Linked DNA regions of Danio rerio. Each later gene encodes a partner of the first gene's protein in a complex. Links are inferred from orthologs where the notes say so. Each region holds a gene or a part of one and is shown in the gene's direction. Other genes may lie near its edges.

What was found.
Region 2: plrg1 (region 1) and rnf113a share a complex: the UniProt entries of both Homo sapiens proteins name them as parts of the minor spliceosome. The link is inferred for Danio rerio from reciprocal best matches to the Homo sapiens genes PLRG1 and RNF113A.
Region 3: plrg1 (region 1) and srrm1 share a complex: the UniProt entries of both Homo sapiens proteins name them as parts of the minor spliceosome. The link is inferred for Danio rerio from reciprocal best matches to the Homo sapiens genes PLRG1 and SRRM1.
Region 4: plrg1 (region 1) and bcas2 share a complex: the UniProt entries of both Homo sapiens proteins name them as parts of the PRP19-CDC5L splicing complex. The link is inferred for Danio rerio from reciprocal best matches to the Homo sapiens genes PLRG1 and BCAS2.

The regions. Positions count from the first base shown.
Region 1 is NC_133176.1:27,252,604-27,256,203, forward strand, and holds part of plrg1 (pleiotropic regulator 1), read left to right. Parts: intron 1-663; coding exon 664-800; intron 801-923; coding exon 924-977; intron 978-1,082; coding exon 1,083-1,176; intron 1,177-2,192; coding exon 2,193-2,283; intron 2,284-3,600. UniProt on the Homo sapiens protein: Involved in pre-mRNA splicing as component of the spliceosome. Component of the PRP19-CDC5L complex that forms an integral part of the spliceosome and is required for activating pre-mRNA splicing.
Region 2 is NC_133178.1:30,712,647-30,716,703, reverse strand, and holds the start of rnf113a (E3 ubiquitin-protein ligase RNF113A), read left to right. Parts: upstream 1-1,257; 5' UTR 1,258-1,259; coding exon 1,260-1,365; intron 1,366-1,509; coding exon 1,510-1,586; intron 1,587-1,670; coding exon 1,671-1,769; intron 1,770-1,964; coding exon 1,965-2,072; intron 2,073-2,907; coding exon 2,908-3,017; intron 3,018-4,057. Other genes in the region: snrnp70 (U1 small nuclear ribonucleoprotein 70 kDa), read right to left, coding at 1-73. UniProt on the Homo sapiens protein: Required for pre-mRNA splicing as component of the spliceosome. As a component of the minor spliceosome, involved in the splicing of U12-type introns in pre-mRNAs. E3 ubiquitin-protein ligase that catalyzes the transfer of ubiquitin onto target proteins.
Region 3 is NC_133192.1:26,834,266-26,836,866, forward strand, and holds the end of srrm1 (serine/arginine repetitive matrix protein 1), read left to right. Parts: intron 1-1,289; coding exon 1,290-1,400; 3' UTR 1,401-2,101; downstream 2,102-2,601. UniProt on the Homo sapiens protein: Part of pre- and post-splicing multiprotein mRNP complexes. As a component of the minor spliceosome, involved in the splicing of U12-type introns in pre-mRNAs. Involved in numerous pre-mRNA processing events.
Region 4 is NC_133183.1:12,579,619-12,582,459, reverse strand, and holds the end of bcas2 (pre-mRNA-splicing factor SPF27), read left to right. Parts: intron 1-908; coding exon 909-959; intron 960-1,654; coding exon 1,655-1,735; intron 1,736-1,820; coding exon 1,821-1,947; 3' UTR 1,948-2,323; downstream 2,324-2,841. UniProt on the Homo sapiens protein: Required for pre-mRNA splicing as component of the activated spliceosome. Component of the PRP19-CDC5L complex that forms an integral part of the spliceosome and is required for activating pre-mRNA splicing.

The DNA.
Region 1 (3,600 bases):
CCTGTCATTTTAAGGAATATCACAACAGCGAACACGGCAAATATAAAAGCCTCGTCTGTTTCGCGAGGTGCGCGTGCAGTCAGCGGAGGTCTGCGTTGCCAGGCAAAAGTATAAATTCTGCTTAACCCGGATGTAATTTTTGCAGTCTCCAATTTTTGTTCGCTATAGGCTTTGCTAGGCTTACTCTGTAAAAGTCAATGTTTCCCTTTGCATTGAACTTTGAGCGCATTACATCAGCTACATTACACATTAACTAAAGTTTAAAATATGATATTGTAGTGGATCACCCTTTTAATGTTTGTATAAACCTTTCTTATGCTGTAAACTCGCTTAGAATTATTCAGCAATGTTTTGCCACAAAATAAAAAAAAAACTTGATAAATACTTGGTTCTGCTTTAGTTGAATGTACTATTTACACTATTAGCAAACCATCAGCTAAGACATTTAGCTCTCTAACTACTAATTAGCTGCTTTGTAATAGTAAGGTAGTAGTTGGGTTTAGGTATTTGAGTAGGATTAGGGATGTACAATAAGATCAAACTTTATGAGTGCTAAAACATTGTAATATCTCAATAATAGAAAGCTAATAAACCAGTAGTAAATGGTGTAAATTGTTACATTAATTGTTACTTTTGTTAATGTTATTTACGTTTTGTCTGTAGCTTCAAGGTGAAGATGGCAGCAAAGATGCGGGCCGAATACAAAGCTGTCTTACACATGCCTGTGCTGAAGGAGGGCCGAGAAAAGGGTTCTCTCCACACCTCTGACCCATATGGCCAATCGGCGTACCCTCTGCCTGGTATGGCTCATAAACCAATCCTGTTGGCTTTTTCTTTATATCAGTATTTTCATTTAGTTTGTTTTTTTAATAAACCTCTCAAAGATTTCATTAACTATTAACTGTTTGACTTCATTTGTGCAGACACTACTCCAGAATATTTGGTGACAGGAACACACCCTTATCCATCTGCTCCAGGTTGAACCAGGATTTTTTTACTTATTTAGCCTAGATGCTAAACATTTCAACCAATTTATTTGAGGCCTAATAATTTTTTTTTTTTTTTTATTATTACGCTTTCAGGAGTTGTCCTCACTGCAGACACACAAATGCTGAAGATGCCCAGTGAAATGGGTGTTCACTCCATGGCCCTTGCTCTTCCTCCGTCTCAAGCTAGGTACTGAATTGTATTTCCTTATGGGTTGTTGTAGTTACTATTAAATGTTTTTAGAAAAAAAAAAATTATATATATATTTTTTGCCATAAAAAACATTTTAAAAAATTTAAAACCAGCACGACAACACTTATGCTTTTGTATTTAGGTTGCACAATTTGGCCTGAAATAATTATAATCATAGTTATTGTTATTATAAATAGTATAATTTTTTTTTTCAAACGAAAATTGTAAACAAAATAATAAATGTTATTACTGTCGAATTTGATTTAAAGTAATTGTACAGATTTCTATAATACCAATGTATGACTGTTGTAATTTCACAATGAGAAATTAAAGCTTCTCTTTGGTTGACCTCAGAAAACCAAATCATAACAAAGCATTTTTTTTTTTTTTGCGTGCATTTACATATGGTTACTTTGATTTCTAGACAGTAAGTCATGCCTGACTGTAAGTTAAGGAAAGAACCCCTTTTAAATGTTTAAAATTGAATTTAATAAATGTAATAATGTGAAATTGGTTACGAATTGGTTTATTATTAAAAAAAAGTAAAAAAAAAAAATGGATAGGTATAAACATTTATTTTATTTTCATTTCAAAATGTTGTTTTTCACCAGAATTATTTCACCCAAAAATTGCAATTGTTTTGAATTATCCTCATGTCATTCCAATTCCTTGAGGCTCTTCGAAACACAAATCAAGATATTTATATAGTATTTTAGATACATGAGAAGAACTTCTAAAAGACAGTAAGGGTCATGATGAGACATTTAAAGTCCAAAAAAAAGAAAATCAAGAATATTGTAAAATTATTTATTGTGACTTCAAAAACTGTTTTGTGTGCTAAAAAAAAGTTATTTTGACTTAGTTCACCTAAATATATTTTTGGGGAATTAGTCCGTTGACCAGCAACATCATGGACCCTGTAGTGAACCTGTATTTGGTGCTGTTAACTTGTGATCAGATCATTAAGACACATTCAAGGGTAAATTAAATCTGAGGTATTGTTTGTTTTGTAGGCAGGAAGCCAGTCGAACTGCAGCCAGTGTGGCAGAAATCCACAGACATGCAGGAGGAGCAGAGAGATCTCATCCCCCACAACATGCACTGGTCAGCAACAGATTTTACTTTTGTGTGTTCAGGTTTAACATGTATTATTAATGTTATGTGCTATAGTTAATGTATTAGTTTAGTTAGGGTTTGTATTTAGATGTAATTGTGTTACAGCCTCCAGGCTTGAATAAAGTAACAAAACCAAATAAAGATCCAAACCAGAAAATCAATTTAATTAAAATATAATCAATTAATAATTAAAAAGTCACTATTGTGGGGGAATAAAATGACCTTCCATGCAGTGTGCAACACAGCTCTTAGTGAATGAAAATATCCAGCTGATTTTTAATAAAAGATTCGACTCGGGAGTCATTTAAATGATTTGTCGTTCATCTGGATCTTTTTCCTGTTCGTATCGATGTTGACAAAATATAACCTTTTGTTATGGATAATATGGGCTCTTTAATTGAAATGATTCATAAATGTAAAGAAAAGAAACTAAAATTTCAAAGCTGAAGAGGGAAGGATCAACTTCTGCAGTCCAATTTTCTGGGTCTTTATCTAAACGCACATCACAAGCAACACTGTTTATATATATATATATATATATATATATATATATATATATATATATATATATATATATATATATATATATATATATATATATATAAAAAACAACAATAACTATGATTATAATATATATAATATAATAATATATTGTAAAAAATTAAATTTATACTTTTTATAATAACAATAATTATATATATATATATATATATATATATATATATATATATATATATATATATATATATATATATATATATATACTTTTTTTTAAATTTACAATCAATTTAAAGTTATTTTAAAATAGTTTTTTGTAAACTAATTAATCATTTTTATTTTCTTTTTTTTACTTTAGTTTTTATAATTTCAATGCTAATTAACTAAGCGCAAAACTGGAATATCCCATATAAGACATACGAATAAAGCAGCGTTTCCATCCAAGTAGTCAAAGAGAACAAAGTTGTCACTTCCTGATTAACTGGTGCCAAATATCAACAGTAAAAATGGAATTTGTTGCGGTAGGAGAAGCTGCATCAATTTTTTCCTTATTTAATAAATTACTTGCGCCTTAGAAGACAGTATGCCGATTCGCAGTGAATGTGCGGAGGCGTTTAAAGCCGTGAGACGCTGAGCACAGACGCTCTTGATAGTTCTTTAGGTCATTAATTGTATAATAACACTAATACTGAAACGTTTAAGGTGTTTTAGAATGACCAAAACAACATTTTATATGTTTTACAATGTGCTGAGCCTGCTGGTTTGTCCATTTACACACATTTTTATCATCACATGATCCCTTATAAC
Region 2 (4,057 bases), on another chromosome or scaffold:
GTTGAGGCAGGAACGGTATGGGGTCCCGCGGGGCAAACAATGCCAACAGGTTCGGCGGAAGAAACTGAGTCATTGTTCACCTGGAAGAGAGAAAAAACACAAACGATAAAAAAAATAATCAACAATTAGGAGCACCTCATGCAAGTTAAGCAGTTACTGTGTGAAAATGGTAAATAAGACGTTATTTAAGATAAGGTGGATTTAAATAAGCAGACAAAATCATGCTAACAGATTCAAACTGAAAATTCAGCGTCTTCACATAGATCTGGATCAGTAAACAAACACCCCTTAAACGAGTCTCGTGAAGTTAGCTGCTAGCAGTCTTAGCTTTCTCGGTTAGCTTCGTGCAAACAAACACTTTTATTCTCCACATAATGATTAAACAAACTACAACTTCAGCATCAGATCACGTTAGTGTAGCATCAACAAAAAGAGACGCATCTAATAACTAATATCAGTGCACTCTTTAATACACAAAAATAAAGCAAAGCTCAGTCGTGGTTACGGTCAGCTCTGCTAATTCACCAACTCTCTCATGATGATCATATCCGAGATCGCCTACATTTCCACGGACGGCCTCCTGCAGTCAATTACCTCAGTTTTTCATTCGGCTCCAACGAAATCTCCGATTTTCGGGCCAAAATCCTCTTGCGTGTTTCTGTGGAAGACCTTCGTGCATGAATTTCTTTAATTCACTCGGTATTTTTGTGTGTATTTCGGTCCACACAATACCCAACGTGTGTTCTCACCCAGTTGAACGAGTCGTTCCTTTCTTAAAATGGCGCGAGGCCGTAAACCGCTGCGGTGTTTCACGACACATTTACGTCTAGTGGTACATTCACGATAGGGGCGTGGCCAGTGTGGAATTTGTACTGTAAAATATTATTTATTGTTATACAGTGTCACAAAACTTATGCTATGTTGATGTACGTATCCACAGTATCCTAACTAGACTTTACCTTTATAATGGGAAAAAATTCACTCTAAATCATAATTTTACTTTAAGTACACCATAAAATACCTTAAAACGTCTTTATCCTTAATTTTGCTCAATGCATGCATCCAAATATTGTCTGAATATTGCTAGTTACTGATTAATAATAATAGTAAAGATATGTACATTATCAATTGTTAAATGGGAATATATTCATATCAAATACAACAGCAGTAAACCATTCCCATTCTACGTTTCTTCCCAAACACAAGAGGCGCTGTAACCAAAAAATGACTTCATCGTTTGTTTTTATACGTAGTTAAAGATGGCGGAGTCCGAGGAGCCGAAAAAACCCACCTGCACATTTATTTTTAAGAAATCAAACAAGAAATTTTCCGCACGGAAAAGAAATGCAAGTGACAGCGACAAAGGTACGTTGTGCTTCTTTCTTCAGTGTCTCAATCGACAGCGAGTTTGACTTGAGAAACTATAATCCCTACAACAAGCCGTCTGTTTAATTAATGTTTATGCTCAATACATGTCTGCAGTTCAGTGTTTTGTTTCTTTATCATCAGAAAAAAGCAGCGGCGATGAGGGCAGTGCAGTGGTCAGAAAGAAGAAATCTGCCGCTGTGAACCCCATGATTCAGAAAGTATGTCCGTATTTCATGTGTTTTATGTAACTAGCCGCTGTTAAACTGATGTCATCATTATTATATTTATTATTCGTTTTATAGACGAAGAAAGTGGAGAGGGAAGCTGTCTCATCGAGTGAAAGTGAAGAAGAGAAGGAAGAAAAGAGCGTGACTGTCGCTTACAAGTCCACTCGCTCAGCGGTGAGTCTGACTGACCCAACATTTGTACAGCTTCATGATTTATGCTACAGCAAATTATGAATATAAACGCTTGATGGTGCCTAATAATTCATGACCACGTATGACTTTACATTTCTATTAACGTCTGACAGTTTTTGCGCTGTCTCATTGAAACATTAAAGGCTGTAATTGAGTGTATTTGACTATGTGTTGCAGAAACCAGAGGGGCCGGATGACATGGGGGCCACTGCTGTCTATGAGCTGGACACAGAGAGGGACAAAGATGCTCAGGCCATCTTTGAGCGCAGTCAGAAAATCCAAGAGGTATGCGGGTGATTGGAAATAACTGGCTGCATCATTGTAAAGTCAGGTTTATGTATGTTATGTACAGATTCAAAGTACCTTTACAGTTCTAGATTTAGATAACATTAAACTCAGCATTTTCAATTGTATTTACACATATTTCAAGTAGACAACAGCTCTACAGAAGGTGATATAGTAGCGTGTCATGTCATGTCAGTTCAGTTATTTAGATACCTCACTCAGTGCTTTCAAGCACAGCAGAATCAATTCATTTTAGAAAATAAATAGCCTTTATAATAGGCCTGGGCGATTTGGCCTCAAATCTAAATCTTGATTAACTAAACATTTTAACCCGATTACAACTAATGATTGATTATTTCATTTGTTTTTGCCCTCATAGTTAACTGACAGGTTTCGTAAAGTGAGAGATGTTTGAAAAGGGTGCATTACTTGATTTTAAAATAATTGAAGGAAACGCAAACTATCTACTATCTATGATTATTTATTGAACATCAGCGTTGAACAACTGAAATGAAAACACACATTGCCTAAAACCAACAGTCTTCTTTTTTTCGTTGCTCTCCGCGCTGCCCACTCTTGTCATCACTATCAAGCTGACCAACCGCAGAGCTTGCGCTACGTATCGTCAAGTAGTGACATTTTTTGAGAGGTGCGCGTCAGCCACGGCGAGGAGTATGCGATTGCTCAAAGTCTGCGCTCAATGCAGAAGAATAAACCAGCATCTAAGGAGCGGGGTCATTTCATGTCATGATATTTGATTGTTGATATTGTTAAGATGGCCAGAATATACACAATCTCTTAATCATATGGCTGCGTGTTTGTGTGTAATTTATAGGAGCTGACTGGTAAAGAAGATGATAAGATTTATCGTGGGATCAACAACTATCACAAATTCATTAAACCCAAAGATTCCACTATGGGCAATGCCTCCTCTGGCATGGTCAGGTGAGTCAGTGTTGTTACGAGTTTTTCTTTCTCTTGTTTCCTCTCCCTCTTTCCTGCACTCTCTCGGTCTGAATTATTTCCAGGTGCAGCGGATTACGGCAGATTGTGATTGGTGCTTGGATTGGCGGCTGTATTTAAGAGGCCTTTGTTTATCTTCTGAACACAAATGAAAATGTTTTAGATTAAATCTGACATCTCTCTCATCCTCCATGGACAGTGAGATTTCAAAGATGTTCAAAAGTCCAGAAACCAAAAACATTGCATGGGACTTTAGTGTTCTGATGTGTAATCATGTAGAGCTCCCAAAACACTTGTAAAAAACTGTAAATACATGAAAGAATACTTTATTTTTTGTATACATGACAGGTCAGGGTGCGCGTTTACTAGGCATGGGCCGGTATAAGATTCTGACGGTATGATAACCTTGGATAAAAATATCAGAGTTTCACAGTATTGTGATTACTGCTCAAAAATATTCTTTTAAAATGTCTGGGTAAAAAAAAAACTATTATTGTTCCCATTGAACACAATATATTTTATTTTAAGAAGCATATTTTGGAACAGTAAACATGACAGGCTAAAGAATTTATTGAAGACAGCAGAAGTCAATAGTTTCGAAAACACATATTTCTTTAAAAAAAAATGAAAAAGACATTCATCTTTCTCTTCTTTGGATATAAAGTAAGCCACAGCACTGTTCAGGTCCAGAGCATGCCTGGATGTTTTGGTGCTTAAGCATTTTGTTTTTCAGATGTTCCCTAAACCATGGGCTGACCAGTAGCTGTTGCCCTAAAAAAACTAAATAAAATAAAAAAACATGTTGTAAAAAACATGTTTAAACAATGTACATATACCACAGTGTAACAGAAAATGTTAGCGGTTTTAAAACCCTGACTTTTCCAAACCGCAGGAAACCTTGAAAGTCACATGGATTGTTTTTGGATCCTTTTCTGGACTTTGAACGTCTCTTGTCTATGGAGGATGAGGGTGCTCTCAGATTTCATGTAAAATATCTTTATTTGTGTTCCGAAAATCAAACA
Region 3 (2,601 bases), on another chromosome or scaffold:
TAGATATATACAATGTAAATATCTATGACTGTTACCCATCTAATGTTGGAATCCAACGTTGCTGTTTTCGGATAAATGATGTGACCCAGCTGTAAAGATGTTCATTACTGTAAATATCAACACTGTCAGACTTGCTCAGTGCACTAGGCTAGAGTAATCTTTCAGGTGCCAGCCATTTGAGTACACTGAACTCATTGTCATGTTCAAGAAAGCAGTCTGAGATGGTTCGTGCTTTGACATGGCGTGTTATCCTGCTGGAAGTAGCCATACAAAGATGGGTACACTGTGGTCATAAAGGAATGTACATGGTTAGCAACAATACTCGGGTAGGCTGTGGCGTTAACACCATGCTCAATTGGTACCAATGGGCATAAAGTGTGCCTAGAAATTATCCCCCGCACCATTATACCACGACCACGAGCCTGATCCATTGATACAAGGCAAGATAAATCTATGGTTTCATGTTGTTGACACCAATGTCTGACACTATCATCTGACTGTTGCAGCAGAAATCAAGACTCTTCAGACCAGGCAACATTTCTCTAATCTTTTATTGTCCAATTTTGGTGAAACTCTGCGAATTGTAGCCTCAGTTTCCTGTTCTTAGCTGACAGGACACCCGGTGTGGTCTTCTGCTGCTGTAGCCCATCTGCCTCAAGGTTCGATGTGTTCAGAGATGCTCTTCTGCATACATCGGTTGTACCGAGTGGTTATTTGAGTTACTGTTGCCTTTCAGCTGGAACCAGTCTGGCCATTCTCCTCTGACCTGTGGCATCAACAATTCATTTGCGCTCACAGAACTGCCGCTCAGTGGAACCATAGAGGTGGTTGTGTGTGAAAATCCCAGTAGATCAGCAGTTTCTGAAAAACTCAGACTAGCCCATCTGGCACCAACAACCATGGCATTTTCAAAGGCACTTAAATCTTCTTTCTTCCCCATTCTGATGCACAGTTTTAACTGCAGCAGATTGTCTTGACCATGTCAACACGCCTAAATGCATTGAGTTGCTGCCATGTCATTGGCTGATTAGAATTTTGCAATGAGTATTTGGATGTGTACCTAATAAAGTGGCTGGGGAGTGTATGTTAGTACTTTATGCATTTTTTTATGGGGGGGGGGGGGGGGGATTATTTAAATCGTAAATTTGAGTTTTTGTGAAAATCAGGGATTTTTTAAAATGGCCATATCACCCAGCCCTAATTTACGAGTTAGGTATTGTCTCTAATGTAAAATCTAAATATACTACTTATGTTTGAGTCAGACATAATTAATGCTACCTTTCTTGAAGGAATCAGAGAGTGAAGTAGAAGACAGTTTGGATGATCTGGAGAAGCACCTACGTGAGAAAGCTCTCCGCTCAATGAGGAAGGCCCAGATGTCTCCATCGTCTCAGTCCTGAGGGCATCTCTCCTGCACCCCACATTTCCCTTTTTCTCTTCCACTCTCTGCATTTTAAATGTTTGATGTTGGTTCAGCTTTAGAATGTACAAATTGTTAAAATTCACCCTAGACTTTTTTTTTTTTCATTTGTTTTGGAATTGTTTTTTTATTTTTATTTTGGCATGTTTATTGCTGAAGTGTTTTATGATATAGAAATGAGTGAGCAGCTGAAGTTTCTCCATCAGATTTTGACCCTTACCACTTAAATACTGTCAAGAAGAAATGTTCCAAACAAAACTTTTTTTAGTCCCCACACCCCTCACCTTCTGTGTTGCTTTTACAGTCATGATGAAAAAAAAATGAAAAGCTTATTTGCCGTTCTGAGTTAATAATGTACGAGTTAGCCTATAGATTCTCTCTTAACCTTCGCGGGACTTTTTTCGAGAGTTTTGTTTGCATGGACGGCAGACCCCAGCGTGTTTGTCCTCTTGTGTGCATGATCCATAAAGTAAAACTGCTCTCTCTGTTCATCTGAGCATTGTGGCAGTGCTTGAGAGCTCCACTGTACACATGAGAACAAATCCGAAGTCTGTTTTCATCTCTCTCTTTTTTTTTGTTGCTTATTTTTTGTAACCTAAGTTGTGTTTGACATTGTTGGACCCTGCAGAAATGTCTGACTTTGAAGAAAGTCACATTAAATTGAAAGAAAAATGTCTCAAATTCCTTTTTTAAGTTGCATTATTGTGCATATCTGCAGTTTGTTTTGTTTCACTTTCAATGATCATGAATGTAAATGACAGACTCGTCCAGCATGCTAACAATGTGGACAGCATTACATTTAGGATGCAAAAAAACTGTTTTGCATATGTTTGCTAGTCCCTTTTTACTGGGTTCTTTGGAAAGCCTGTAGTGTCCCAGGTCTGGTAATGACACATGATAATCAAGTGCTGTTCATGTTGTTGTTTTTTCCCTTTTAGCACCATGTGAAATCTTCACTAGCCACAGATGAAAGCTCAGTGAGTTTGTAAAGGTGTAATGCGGTTAATAATGGCTGATCTGGAAAATCAGCCTAAGGCAGCAATGTTTTGCCTTGGTTGTTATTTTATAATGCCACCTGCTTCTGGCTGCAGGCATCTGTGGGAATACATGGGTGGTAAACATGCAGTCTGTCTTTATACTGTCCCTAGAGGTCAGGCTAAGTGCTGGAAAGCTTTGTTTCT
Region 4 (2,841 bases), on another chromosome or scaffold:
ACAGCCTATATATAGATATCACACTTCCTAATCACCTGACAACATATACTACTTAGCAGGAGACACACACACACACCACACTCTCAACAGATGTGTGATCTATATTTAATATCAATCTATCTTACTCAAACAGCTGTTGGGGTATTGTAAATGGTCAGTGGATGTTTTCCTGATCATCGCACACATCCTAACACGCACACATCGAACAAACAGGGTAAACACAAAATAGTTACAGCTTAACAGAAATTTAAATGTTTATAGTGTTAATATAGTGTATTAATATTTATTAGTATTAATTGTAATATAATACAAAACAACAAAATTAAATATAATTAAGTTAATAGTTTACTGGGTGGCACGGTAGCTCAGTGGTTAGCACTGTCTATTCGCAGCAGGAAGGTCTCTGGTGTGAGCCCCGACTGGGTCAGTTGGCATTTCTGTGTGGAGTTTGCATGTTCTCTCCATGTTGGCGTGGGTTCCCTCCGGGTCCCCCTGGTTCCCCCACAGTCCAAAAACATGCACTATAGGTGAATTGAATAAATTATTTTGATTACATCATAATATCAGTTGTGATAATTTAAATATTTTGATGAATATTGCAGGAACTATCATTTAATTGATGCAGTAATATAATTTAATTAATTTGATTACAATTTAATTAGCGGAATTATAATATATAATTTAATTTGATGAAACTGTTTAAAACTAATTACTGGAAGTGCAACGTTTACATGAAAAGGGGCGGGGTTTAAACAAAGTCCTGTCCTAAAAGGAGTGTGGTTTAAACCATAAATCCCGCCCTAGAAGAGGCAGGGCTGTAAGTCATCAATCATTTTAACAGGTAGAGGCACATATTACTCTTTTATTCATTATGCTGATCATAACTGGTCGTCTTTTCTGTGACACAGTAACTTGGCCTTGATGATTGAAAATTCACAAAAAGAGCTGCAGAATGTAAGGTAAGCACATTATCTGTCTATTAAGTTTACTTACTATTTGGATGTTGTATGTGTGGTTTAATTGACTTCCAAATGTAATATTTAAGGAGCACTCTATTTAAAAATAATCCTCCTAGAGTTCAACAGTTGAGTTTTAATCCATTCTGATAATCTTCTGGTCTGGAGGGAGCACTTTTAGCTTAGCTTAGCATAGATTATTGAATCGGATTAGACCATTAGCATCTCGCTCAAATGACCAAAGAGATTAGTTCATTTTCCTATTTAACGCTTGACTCTTTTGTAGTTTTATCATGTGCTTCAGGGATGTCAAACTCAATTCCTAGAGGGCCACAGCTCTGCACTTATTCCCAACCCTGTTTCAACAAGCCTTTAGATTTCAAATAAGCTTGAAGGACTCAACTAGTTTGATCAGGTGTGTTCAATTAGGGTTAAAGCTAAACTGCAGCGCTGTGGCCCTCCAGGAACTGAGTTTGACACCTGTGATGTAGTTGGACCAACAGAAAATGAAAAGTTGAGATATTCTCATATATCTGGGAACAATACTCTGATTAAGGTGTAATAATCAAGACATTTTACTGCGGTACCATGTCTGGCAGCTTGCACAATGATATTACGCAGCAGAGATCGGCTGAATGGATTCAAAAATAATAAATCTCTACTCTAACTCAACCTAAGTGTGTTTGTTTTTCTTTTAGAAAGGAAATACAAGACCTGAACTGGCAGCGCAAAAACGATCAGCTGGCTGGAGGAGCCAAACTGAGAGAACTTGAGTCCAAGTCAGTACTGCATTATGTTCAACTCGTTCCAGAAAATGTCGTAGTCAGTTCGTTGACTCACATATTTCTGCTCGTGTTTTCACAGCTGGGTGTCTCTCGTCAGTAAGAACTATGAGATCGAGCGCGCCATCGTGCAGCTGGAGAATGAAGTGGCGCAGATGAAGCAGCAGCAGGGCGACGAGAACAAGGAGAACATTAGACAGGACTTTTGAACACCATGCACAGACTTTGCAAAAGTAAATGTTCCGCAACGTCTGATATTCAGCTTTTTTATTTTAAATAGCTTAGTTTTTTTTCCTGTCAAACAAATAAATAATATAGGAAAATAGCCTTTAAAACACAAGTGAGCTATAGTGTTGTAGTGCATACAGAAAATATGCTTTCCCAAAATCATGAACTGCACACTGTCTCTGGAATTCCACAACTCACATTTGTGTTTGCTTAAAGGTGTTTTCCAAAGCTTTAGGGGCTGTCGTTTTTTTTTCATTTTATAATAATTTTGTGTCTTATGATAGACGATAAGTTCATTTTCCTGTTTAACTCTATTTGTAATGTTTTTAAGAAATACACAATAAAATGATGAAATAATGACATGTTCATTTTCTCTGTGCACAAACACAGACTTTTTTTGGCTCCCATGATTGGCCAGCCCAGTCCCCAGATATGAACATTATTGAGCATATCTGGGGTACGATGGAGGAGGCATTAAAGATGAATCCAAAGAATCTTGATGAACTCTGGGAGTCCTGCAAGAATGCTTTCTTTGACATCCCAGATGATTTATTAATAAACTTATTTGAGGCTTTGGAGAGATGAATGAATGCAGTCCTCCAAGCTCATGGGAATCAAAAACAATATTCATTCTTTTTCCACTACACCATGACTTTATATTCTATACTGGACGTTATTGCTGTTAAGTGACTAGACTTTTGTCTAAGCTAAGTCAAACCCTTCCTGTCCTAATTAAATAATTAAAAATCAAGGAATTATCATATTGTATTTTGGTAAAAATAAGTGTAATCTAGAGGCCTTTGACTTTCATATAAGCCACTTCTGATACCAAATGATCAGCTAGAAGTCAAGTTATTGTTTGTTGTTCCTAAAAC